2 linked regions of the Drosophila melanogaster genome follow. The protein of the gene in region 1 purifies or fractionates together with the protein of each later gene. This does not show direct contact. Each region holds a gene or a part of one and is shown on either strand. Other genes may lie near its edges. The genes, in order: Ge-1 and DCP1.

The links.
Region 2: the proteins of Ge-1 (region 1) and DCP1 purify together in Drosophila melanogaster (affinity purification with western blotting; 4 studies listed by BioGRID). This does not show direct contact.

The regions. Positions count from the first base shown.
Region 1 is NT_033779.5:11,094,765-11,102,669, reverse strand, and holds Ge-1 (Ge-1), read left to right. Parts: upstream 1-1,781; 5' UTR 1,782-2,110; coding exon 2,111-2,376; intron 2,377-2,444; coding exon 2,445-2,653; intron 2,654-2,915; coding exon 2,916-3,316; intron 3,317-3,374; coding exon 3,375-3,628; intron 3,629-3,685; coding exon 3,686-5,262; intron 5,263-5,370; coding exon 5,371-5,608; intron 5,609-5,664; coding exon 5,665-5,905; intron 5,906-5,968; coding exon 5,969-6,134; intron 6,135-6,194; coding exon 6,195-6,717; intron 6,718-6,792; coding exon 6,793-6,982; 3' UTR 6,983-7,520; downstream 7,521-7,905. Other genes in the region: Reps (RALBP1 associated Eps domain containing), read left to right, coding at 1-43; Wdr59 (WD repeat domain 59), read right to left, coding at 7,833-7,905. UniProt on the Drosophila melanogaster protein: In the process of mRNA degradation, seems to play a role in mRNA decapping. Required for silencing a subset of endogenous miRNA targets.
Region 2 is NT_033778.4:23,888,036-23,892,289, reverse strand, and holds DCP1 (decapping protein 1), read left to right. Parts: upstream 1-2,013; 5' UTR 2,014-2,097; coding exon 2,098-3,216; 3' UTR 3,217-3,526; downstream 3,527-4,254. Other genes in the region: DNAlig1 (DNA ligase 1), read right to left, coding at 1-463, 519-1,151, 1,212-1,502, 1,558-1,620, 1,678-1,694; CG5597 (uncharacterized protein), read right to left, coding at 3,545-3,809, 3,888-4,165, 4,226-4,254.

The sequences.
Region 1 (7,905 bases):
TGGATCCTCTGGTTCGGCAGGAGCTGCTTATACCAACGTTTAAGCAGCGAAAATGATCATGTGAATGAGGGTGAATCGATTTATTTTTGGGCGATATGTGACTTTCGTTTGCCTGTGTGTGTATTTTTGCGACCATTTTAAGTGTCTCGAACCAAAATTTAACATTCCTTATAATTTGTTATACTTTCTTTAAGCTATTAGTATATTTCCCTCTTTTCTGCACATTAAACTGCATTAGATACATATTGGGCGTAAGATTTCAGAAAAACTACGAATTAGTTTCCCTTAAATTTGAATACTAATTGAAATTACCAAAAACGGAGAAAAAATTGATAACGACCAAGTTTAATATGAAATCCTCGGATTTAAGGCAAATAGCTGAAATGAATTCATGCTATTAGTATTAATTCATTTGTTCATGCACTGAAAGAAATCGATTCACCTTTATGTTAAACACTTATTTTGTTGTTTCTGTATGTTGCAAGCACAATTTACGATTCGAGGTGCTTACACAACGATAAGACTGGGCAAATCTTTGAGTAGGCTCGTAAAATTTCGTTGTGAAAATATTTACACAGTCTGCAGATAAATATTCGCCAGATCTGAAAGTTCCAACAGCTTCTATGTAACTACCATTTGTTTACTCAAGAGCTTGCTCAGTCTTAAGCGGGTAGAAACACCAGCGATGGATCTGATAGCTCGTCCGTTTATGCATTGAAGTTGCTAATTTAATTTGTAGGCTAGTTAAATCTCAAGAACACAAAACAAATCATGCGAGAACAACAACAATAATGCCGCCTCTATAGATATTTATGCAGATCGATTTATATATGTATGTATATGTATATTTAGAGATATATGTATATGCGCTTCTCCTAATTGTTACGAGTAAATGACACACAATTCTTTCGCTTGACAGCCACTCCGCACTCCGTATCTCACCCTCACCCTAGTGATTAATGAAACTGCCACAAAGTGGTCCAATCCCAGGTGTAATATTTCCTGCTGCGAAGACATTTTACTTCTCCATTTGCTATTTATTACTGTTTTGTGTATGCCTCGAAAATGTCCCTTCTATTCATTCCGGCAATGAAAATTAAAAACCACAAAAAAAACATTAACTCAAAAATAAGAACTACAAAAAACGAACCTAAAAAGAAGCCAGGCTTAATGTTTAAGTATTAGAAAAGTGAAAGGTAAAAAATCGATAAAGAAATTCATTTCCTTGAAAGCTTAGCTTAGGTTTTTCAAAAAATATATACATCTTAATATATTTTCTATCTGTATAGTGTACACGATAAAACACAATAACACTTGATATTATCTACAATTACCAAAATTTCTTTCTACCGAAACAGGAGACAAATTTGATTTACTCGGACCACTGATTCTGTACGTATATGCTAACTTTGAATTTATCAGACATACCGGCATATATCACATCTTTTGCATATTTAAACCATTAGATATATGAGTTTTTCTTCAACTTGTTAAACATTTTCAATGACCTACCACCACACACAATCACACAAGAGAAACGAAACAAAATGTAATATGAAAAGAAAAAGTGATATTGAAACACTATGTAAACATATTATTACGTCGCTGCGTAATCAATGTGTATTGTTTTGATGGATATACATCTCTATGAATAAAGATAAATGTATTAAGTTGATGTTAAAATGCAATAAAACGAAAGTGCAACCGAAACGTGTTTTCTTGATTTCGAAAGAACGTTTCGCTGAGCGTCCATCCCTGGCATCCGCGTCGCCGATAACAGACGCTGTCCATCGATTGCCCTAGCACACGCCGCTACACACCTCTATGGTTTTGCGGCAAAAAAAAAAAAGTTTTTTGCGAAAATTTGTGAGTTTACGAGAAGCAGCCAACTAAATGGTTTAGTTTCGCTAAGTAGACGATCAATTGCTGGAGGCCAGTTTTACCAAGTACCGGCTGGGTGCATTTAGCAGGAGTAAAGGAGACCATTCGACTGCTGCGTATTGATAGGGCAGGTTGGTGTGCGAGTCGTTGCTGTTCATCAACTGGCGAAATTAATAATGTGTACCCCCATGCCGTATCATCCTCCCACCTGCAGTCAGCCGATGTGTCAATGTTAATCGCGCTCTTCGCGCTTGCACACTTGCCAATCTTTCGTAAGACGCCTTTGTCAGCCTCCTCCTCCCCGCCGCCGTCTGTCCACCGGTCGCCAAGGTGTGGCAAAGCAAGTACCGCGTACCATCCACCGCCAGCAGACGCCTGCATCAGCATTACTGCTTCAGCCATTGACGCAGCATCCGGGATGAGCAACAGCGCCGAACAGGACAAGCCGATTGCCGCCAACGGCAATGCGGCAGAGCCCCAGGAAATAGAAGTCATGTGCGTATCACCGGTTATCCAATAGACGGCCCTTGCTTAATTAATTCTTTTTTTTTTGTGCCTAACAGCCATTTCCAAGCGCAAGAGAAGCAGTGTTGCCGCGTTATTAGATCCAATAAGACCAAGGTCCTCACATCCGGCGGCGTTCACACACGCGGTTCCTCCAAGGTCAAGCTAAAGAACATCGTCGACTACAAGTGGGAGCGCAAGTACTACTATCCGGGTCACCTGGTCGCTGTCCACCGCGATGGCAAGCACCTGGCGTACGCCATTAATGGTAAGTAATTTATATCCCATTGCAGTTTCTTGACCAATTAGATTTTATTTATGTGTGACAACTTTTTCTCGCAATTCTTGAGTTTTATAAAAAAGGAATGATTCTTGAATTTATCGATGGGAATCATGTCCCAATCAATATTTTACAGAGCTTCCGGGGAATGATGGTTTAATTATTATGTATACTTATGAACCCATTTACCTTGTGTTAATTTTAAAATTAATTTAAAAGCTATTGTATAATAACTTCATTGTGCTCCCAGTCAACAACAAAGCCACCGGAATGGAGGGCATGGTGCGCGTATGCAACATAGCCACCAGTATGCGAGCCTTGATCAAGGGAATGAGCGGCGAGGTCTTAGATCTGCAGTTTGCCCATACGGATTGTGAGCGTATATTAGCTGTGATCGATGTCAGTTCGCTGTTTGTCTACAAAGTCGATCAAATCGAAGGGAACCTGCTGTGCAATCTAGTGCTAAAGGTGGAGGACCCCATCGCCAACTATGTGCCGGAGTACGATATGGTCTCCTGGTGTCCCTATGTCTGCAGCAGCAGCGCCACCGTTCCAATCAACGACGATGACGATGAGAATCAGCTGCTCATTTGGTCGCGAAGCTCTCAATTTCAATGCTTTCAAGTGAAGATGATTGTCTCTGAACATGGGGTTCGTTTGTGCTAATGTTCAGCGCCAAACATATCATTAATGGCATTTACCTTAACAGCGCGGCAAGATCCAACCAGCAGCCCTAGAATCTGGATATCTGAAGATTGAGGAGGACTCGTTGATCACGTGCGCCGCTTTGTCCCCGGATGGCACCACTGTGGCTGCTGCTTGCGCCGATGGCTTGGTTCGTTTCTACCAAATTTATTTGTTCGATGTGCGCAACCATCGCTGCCTGCACGAGTGGAAGCCACATGATGGCAAAAAAGTCTGCTCTCTCTTTTTTCTCGACAATATCAACAAGCCTGTGGAAGAGTAAGTAGTTATTATATAATAATTAAATATAATTATTATATTAAACTTTCCCATTAGATCCTACTGGCAGCACGTGATCACTACGAGCGATGCCAATACCGAAATCAAGCTCTGGAACTGCTCGCTATGGAAATGCCTCCAAACTATCAATGTGGTGGCCAGTCCGTCATCTTTGCAGCCCAGAAACTTTATCGCGGGCATAGATCGCAGTGCGAACTACTTGGTGTTGTCTTGCCTGGACTCTCTGGCCGTGTATGTAATGCAGATTGGCAGTACTGGCGGCGCAGACTCCGAGAATAGGAGTAGCGATAGCGAAGGAGAAGGCTGCGACACTTCCAAACGCATTCAGAATGTTGCCGAATTCAAGCTGAGTTCGGGGATTCTCTCTTTTTCTATTGTAAACGCTAGTATGCGTCGCGTTAAGAACTCCATCGAGAGCTACTATCCTATTGAGGAGCCCGATGACTTCGATGACGATTCCAATTCCACCAGTGCCCTTGTGCTGCACATGTTTGTGGTGCAGGCAAAGAGCCTGCAGGAATGTCAAATAATCTACCAGCCATGTGTGGCTGAAAAGACGGAGCGGAGCAGCCTAAACAGCAAGCGATCACAGACGCCAGAAGACAATCTGCTAATCAAAGAGGAGCCGGAATCCCCCAACAGTGGAACTGTGGGTGCTGTTCAGCTGGATGCATTATTCGCAAAATCCGCAAAGAGAGCTTCAACGGGCAGTTCATCTGCCATGGTGGCCGTGGCGGCAGCCGCGGCTGCGGCACCTTCGGCCATCCTGCAGGACGCCACTAAGGAGGCGGCCAAGTCAGAGTCCCCGCAACTAAGCAGCGCGTATACGCAGCAGGTTAATCTCATGACTCCAGATGCCTTCAGTGCAAGCGGAACCGCAGCGGCAGCAGCTGTATTTGTGTCTACCAGCACCACAACTTCAATAGGAACTGATAGCTCTACCACCACCAGCGGTCAGGATAGATCCATTGATTCAGCGGTTCTGCAAACTATACGAATGCTGGCCACGGTAACGTCCAAGACTTCCGAAAACCCCAATGCCGAGGTACTCCTCAACCTAATGAACAACACCCTAATCGAAGATCGCGAGCAACAAAAGCTGAAGGAAAAGCTTGACGCTCGCAAGAAGTTCATTGCAATTGATCGCAATCCAGAGCGGAATGTGGCTGAGAACTTGGCCAGCGGCAGTTCGAGTCCGAGTCGAGAGGTGCAGGAGATAATGGCCACACAGGACGATGCCGATGCCTACGAAGCAGAGCTAGAGAATCTGGACGACGATGATGACGATGAGGAAGAAGAGCTGGCAAATTCATCACCGCTCCCGGAAGCTGTTGACGGAACATGGCCCATTGTCAAGCTGTCATCCCACTCAGCTGAGCTCCAGAATGCTGCCCAGATCATGTCCCAGGCGGTGCAGAACACCAACAATGGCAATGTGCCGCCTACGCTAGGTGGAGGGCACAATAATAACACAAGTGTAGGCAGCAATAGCAACAACAACACGGCTACAACTCTTAGCACCAGCAACACCAGCAGCAGCAACAACGCGGGCGGAACATGCGTTGATTCAAGTGGAACTGGAGAGCTAAATGCCAAAATGGAACTACTCATAGGTAAGTGGTTGTGATCTTCAATCAGAAATTTTAAATATTTTATATTAAAAGAGGCATGATGGCGTAACGTACTTCAAATACTAACAATTTCACATAAATTATTTGCAGATCTAGTAAAAGCCCAGTCCAAACAAATAAACAAATTGGAGAACGAAGTCAACAAGCTACAAAAGCAGCAAGAAGCGGCGGCGGCCCTGCATAGCAAACAAGACACTTCATTGGAGCCTAAAAATCTTAGTCAGCTAGCATATAAAATTGAGATGCAACTGTCCAAGCTAATGGAGCAGTATCTCAAGCGATATGAAAACGAGCATAAGAAGAAACTGACGGAATTCTTGGCGGCGCGGTAAGATACATATAACAAATTTTCCGGGGCACAATCCAAGTGAATACTTTTTGCAGTGAGAGCCAAAACCGAGAGCTACGTGACTCCGTGCTGCAGGTACTAAATCAGTATGTCATGAACCACTTTACGGACATTATTGGCAACGTTCTCAACATGGAACTGCAGCGCCAACTGCTTCCTCGCGTGAATGCCAACATGGATCAGCTCCAAGCCCAAATGCAAGTGGAGATTGTGCAGAAGCTGAGTGTGTTTGACAAAACGGTGAAGGAGAATATTGCCCAGGTGTGCAAGAGCAAGGTACGTAATCTGCAAGTCCATCTATAAATGCTTATAATTAAGCGTTTTTTTTTCATTACTTAGCAATTTCTGGATACTTTTGGCAAGTCCGTGTTGATTGGTGTTCAAACCAGCCTACAAACCGCCTTCATTGAATCTATGAGCAGCACCTTGATTCCAGCTTATGAGAAGTCCTCGCAGAACATGTTTAAACAACTGCATGACGCTTTCAGCGTGGGCATAAAAGACTGTTAGTATATAATCATTACAATCATAATGGATACATAAAGCTCCTTCTTTTGAATTCCAGTTATGGTCCAGTTTAACACCTACCTGCAGCACATGCCACAGCCCCAAGCCGGGAGTGGCAATACGGAGGAGATAAACAACAAGTTGTCCATGCTTAAGCAATTGGTAGAGAGCAGCTTGCACAAGCACCGCACTGAACTCACGGACGCCATGCTCGAGACACAAAGAGAAGTGAAGAGCTTAGAGATTTTGCTGGCGCGTCAGGTACAGGAAACGATCAGAGCAGAGCTACGCAAGCACATGGAAGCCCAGAACGTGGCAATGCGTTCGCAGGCAGCTACGCCTGCACCACCTTACGACCTCAGGGACAGCATTAAGCAGCTTTTGATGGCTGGACAAATCAACAAGGCCTTCCATCAGGCTCTATTGGCCAACGACTTGGGCCTAGTGGAGTTCACTCTCCGACACACGGACAGCAACCAGGCATTCGCACCAGAGGGATGCAGACTGGAGCAAAAGGTTCTACTGTCGCTCATTCAGCAAATATCCGCTGACATGACCAATCACAATGAGCTTAAGCAGAGGTGAGCTAGGAGAACTAAACAAGTAACAAAACATTACAAAGAATTACATTGATGATGTACCTTTTTCATTTGTAGATATCTCAACGAGGCACTGTTGGCCATCAATATGGCAGATCCCATTACCCGCGAGCACGCTCCTAAAGTGCTCACCGAGCTGTATCGCAATTGTCAGCAGTTCATTAAGAACAGCCCCAAGAATTCGCAGTTCAGCAACGTCCGTCTGCTGATGAAGGCAATCATAACGTACCGCGATCAGCTAAAATGATATCAAGAGAACTATAACCTGGCCAGTGGCTGGTTTTGATAGATTACCCATCCGATCCCCATCCAAGATAGTTAATCTATGACCACAAACACATTTATAAATACACGCTTGTAGTTAAGTCCAAAAAGAAGTTAGTATGCTAAAAAGCTCTCAGCTAAGTTCATCCCTTAAAAAGTTGAAATTGAATCTATGCCTTTCATTTTATTGTTTATTTGTTTTGTGCGTGATTTGTTTATAGTAAGGCCGTATATCTAATGTTTATGTCGCTATATCAAAATTGTATTATCTTTATAATGATTCGCCTACTAAATTGCAATATATTTTTTTATTATTTTATTTTTGCGTTCCTTTTATTTTCCTTTTTATCTTTATGACGCTTAATGAACAAAAGAAAACACACAAAAACAAGAATAGGAGCTGTAGAAACTTATTTAAAAATTATTTTCAAAACTAAAGCAAACTTTATTATGACGGACAAAACAAAAAAATTATTAGATTGCAAATGCAAAAACTACAAGTAAATCGTAGAATTTAAGCTAAAAAAAAAAAAAAAAAACAGAAAGCAAAAGTCGATAATAAAAAAGAATAAATGTATGTACTTGAAAAAATCTAGAAACAGTTCTTTTTGAATTATCGTAACCATATGATTTTGGTTAAGTGTATAGTTGCATAAAGCTTTTACCCTTAGCTTGGCTAGTAAGTGGTCATATATTTCTCAATGGTATGCAAATCGTACAAAAATTGTTGGCCTAATGACTAAAAAACACCTAACTATTTTGATATCCACACAGACGAAAGAAAGTTAAGTAAGATTATTTTTGAAAGGAATGCACATCACTCAAGGTCTGAATCAGCTGAGTAGGGCTAGCAGCTCTGAGGTGCGCTCCAAGCACTTGCAGCCACACGTAGCACAGACATTGTGT
Region 2 (4,254 bases), on another chromosome or scaffold:
CAGATCGAAGATGTAGACACAGACTTGGACCTTGATTTCCTCGATATCAACGTTCTTCCGTTTGCGCGTGCTGAGCACCTGAAACGGCAGAATCTGCTTGCGCTCCACATCCCAGGCCACAATTTCGCTGTCTATGATGTAGGACTTTACGTCGCCCTTGAGCAAGGCAGTGCTCCTGGCAATCAAATCCGGATATTTTGCCGTGTTGTTCTCGGAGTTGCGCGAGAATATGCTGATCTCCCCCTTCTCGTTGCGGTGGATTTGGGCCCGCTCTCCATCGTATTTCCACTCGCAGGTGATTTGCATGCCGCCGAATCTCTCAAATACCTCATGGACCCCCTTGGTGGGCTGGGCGAGCATGGGCCTCAGCGGCATGCCGGGATGCATGGGGCAGCGTTCCTGCAGCTCCTTAATATCGTACTTTAGAATGGCCGGTATAATGATATCGTAGTTGGGACACTGACTGCAAAAGTTCGTTAGCATCTGAATTATTAGCTGGTTCTTAAGTTAGTTCTTACCAGTATGCAGTTTTCAACAGCAAAGTGGTGTCGACTATTTCATCCTTATACACATCCGGCACCTTGCTAGCCTTGCAATCATCGATGTGGTTCTTTTTCACCAAACCAATGGCCAGCGCTGTGAGCAAACTCTGCTCTGCAATGCCAATTCTTAGCTTGCCAATCAATGAACGGATAAAGAAGCGAGCCTCCGACGATCGACAGGCCACAAACATATTGTACACCAGGTCCATTTTCGACTGACCGGATAGCTTGGCTATTTCGCGTAGCTTCCGGAACACATCCCTCACATTCAGAGGCGCTGGCTGGAACATCATGCGCTGTGAAACGCGCGACTGCTCGGCCACGATGCCCAGATCCCCGGTTAGCTGCGTCTGCGATTTAATGTGAGCCAAATTACGCCCCGTTGCCTTGCAAATGGCCTTCATCAAGGTGGTCTCGGCAACGCCCAGCTCCAGTCCCTCGTAGGCGGGCGCCAGTTGGTTGATGCTGAGGTAGACGCTGGGCACAAGATCCTCCGGACTGACCAGCATCACAGAGCAGAAGAAGTTGCTCAGCGTGTCGATCATCTTGAGCCGGCCTTTGGTCTCCTCGATTACTTGAAATGTGCGGGCCAGTGCCAAGTAGGGAGTGCTGGAAAGTGTTTCCTTTGATATAATTCGCCTTGGAGGCTCAAAATCCTGCACTACTTACACCTTTTTGTCCTTCCAGTAGGCATTCTTGAGCGGATGATAGGAGTCGGCGGATGGATCGTAGTTTTCCACATCCTCCTTAGTAGCGGCAGTGGAGTTGAGACCTATGGTTGTGACCTTCTTGTCAGTGGTCTTGTCATCGACTTCCTTTGGTTCCTTCTTAACATTTTTCACCGGACTTGTCTTCTCCTCGGAATCCACAGACATAGGTTCTACCTTGGGCTTAGTTTCCGGGGAGGCACTTTCGCTCTTGATGTGGGGTTCATCTGGGAGTTCGGTCTTCGCATCAATCCTATGATTTGTCGAGGAATTTAGTAATGAAACAAGAAAACAGCGGCACCATTTACTTAGGAACTTTCTTGGGCGGCGAGGGGCTGTCGGTGGCATCGGATTTCTTCTTGAAGAAGGAGCTGAAACGGGGGATTGTTAGATTGGCAATACTTAGCATTTGTTAAATCGTAAATTACGTTATAGACTTTTGCATTTTGTGGCAATTCTGTGTTCAAATAAATACAAATTGCAATGCAATTAGTTCCCGCCAGTTTCTAGAGCTGGTCTTCAGTATCGATATATTGAAATGGAAATGCTATCGAAGTTGAAAATTTTATTAGTAAACATAAATTAAATGTTTATGCTACATAATTGAGAAATATTATTACGTACAATTGTGGCCATTTTTATATGCAAGTCAATCGACTTAATATTTCTCAAACAAATCATTAATAGACAAAAGGAAGAGTTTATTGTCATTCGGTGTGACCGCAGCACAGTCGTTGATAAACACGGGAAAACATCCACGGGGCAGTGTGACCAGAGCGCCGTTAAATTCACAAATAATTGCAATTCGCAATAGCACAGCCAAAACTGAAGATTACATACAATTTACAATGGCCGACGAGAGCATCACGCGAATGAACCTGGCGGCCATCAAGAAGATCGACCCGTACGCCAAGGAGATCGTGGATTCGTCCTCGCACGTCGCCTTCTACACGTTCAACTCGTCGCAGAACGAGTGGGAAAAGACCGATGTGGAGGGAGCCTTCTTCATATACCACCGCAACGCGGAGCCCTTTCACAGCATCTTCATCAACAACCGACTGAACACCACGTCCTTCGTGGAGCCCATCACCGGCAGCCTGGAGCTGCAGTCGCAGCCGCCGTTCCTGCTCTACCGCAACGAGCGCTCGCGCATCCGCGGCTTCTGGTTCTACAACAGCGAGGAGTGCGACCGCATCAGCGGCTTGGTGAACGGGCTGCTCAAGTCCAAGGATCAGGGAACGAATGGCCAGGCCCAGCGTCACGTCTCCGCGCCCCAGCAGCCAAAGCAGGACAGCAGCCAGCCGGCCAGCATATTCAACATGCTGACCAAGGCCCAGAAGGACTACAATGCCCAGGTGAGCGGCGGGCAGCCGAAGACGCCTTCGGCGGAGAACGTAACGGCCGGCAATGTGTTGAAGTTCTTCGAATCGGCCAAGCAGGCCACGGCAGAGTCACTGTTCCACCGCGTCCAGCCGCTCTCCGTGGACCAGCTGGAGAAACAGCAGCGGGCAGCCACGCCTGGCGAGGATCTGTTGCCCCCGGCAGGCAGGGACAATCACGAGAGCCGGCTGTCGCCCTTCCAGAAGATGCAGCAGCTTAACATTCAGCTCCTGAGCGACCTGAAGATCGGTAAAAGCTACGCTACGGCTCAATCTCCGACAGTCGCCCCGTCCTCGTCGGCGCTGATGGCCAACGACGATGCCGGCAAGTGCTTGCGGAGACTGCTGGCTGGCGACAAGCCCGGGCCGGCCCTCATGCCGCCCACCATGTTCGACGCGCCCAACAACGGCAATCCGGAGCCACAGCAGCCACAGCAGCCACAGCAGCCACTGCTGAACTCGACGCAGTTCGTCCAGGCCTTCACGTACCTTATCCAGAACGATAAGGAGTTTGCCAACAAGCTGCACAAGGCCTACCTGAACGGCTGTTCCAATCTACTGCTGGACTCCAGCTCCACATATCAATAAACAGAAATATTCAACATTTCCGAATTGCAGCCCATATTTTCATTTGTTCGCATGGAGTTCGAGTTCAAGCCGAGTTAATTTACAAAATGTAATAGCTGTAAGCCGACAAGGGCAGTCGTAGATTTAAAATCTAGAAGCCCCGCCGGAGAAGGACGGCATCCATTTCCAGAGCAACCTTAAGAGTTAACTAACGTAGTTGGTTTTGTGAAGTATTCGTATTTATTTACAAAATGGTTAACTAGGCCGAAGGGGCGTAGAAAAGGTAGTTGAATGGCAAACAGAATTCAATAAACATTAATTTAGTAACAATAAATAACAACGCTTTTATTTAGGCCAATACCTTCAGCTTGCAGAGCAGGTAGTACAGAAAACAAAACAGCCACAGGCTGAAGTCGACGTGGCTCCTGCCCGCCGCCGCGGACGTGGCCACCGTGGTCAGGTTCTTGCCGTATCCCTCGAAGGACACCACGCACTGGTAGGCATCGGGATCGTCGTCGGTGTCGTAGGCCGCCACCACGGCGCTGCCATCGAAGTATCCCTCCTCGTTCTCGTACACCATGGGCTCCCGCTTCACCACGTCCATGTCGTTGGATCTGTAATAGGAGCGGAGTTGAGTTGGGACGTTGTTTACTACAAGGCTGTCTTACGACAAGGCAGGCGCTCGTCCTTACATTATCGTGATGGTGGGCCTGGGATACACGTTCGTCACGGTGCAGTTCAGCTGCGTCTCATTGTGGATCGTCTTGTGGGACAGCTCCAGGGTGTAGTTCCTCAGGTCTATGACCTGAACCCTCTGGTGGCTGGAGAAGGTGTTCAGCGAGGTCTGCACCACGCACTTGTAGTCGCCGGTGGTGGCGATCGTGGGGTTGATCAAAGCCAGCGAGCTGTACTGCTTGCTCGGCTCCGTGGAGCTCTCATAGGTGCTGTCAATCTCGTTCCTGAACTCGGGCTATCAAGGAGGGGAAAGCGGTTAGTATCTTAAGCGCACCACACCGTTTGGTTCACTCACGATGGCATATGGAGGTGTTCCGAAGATCC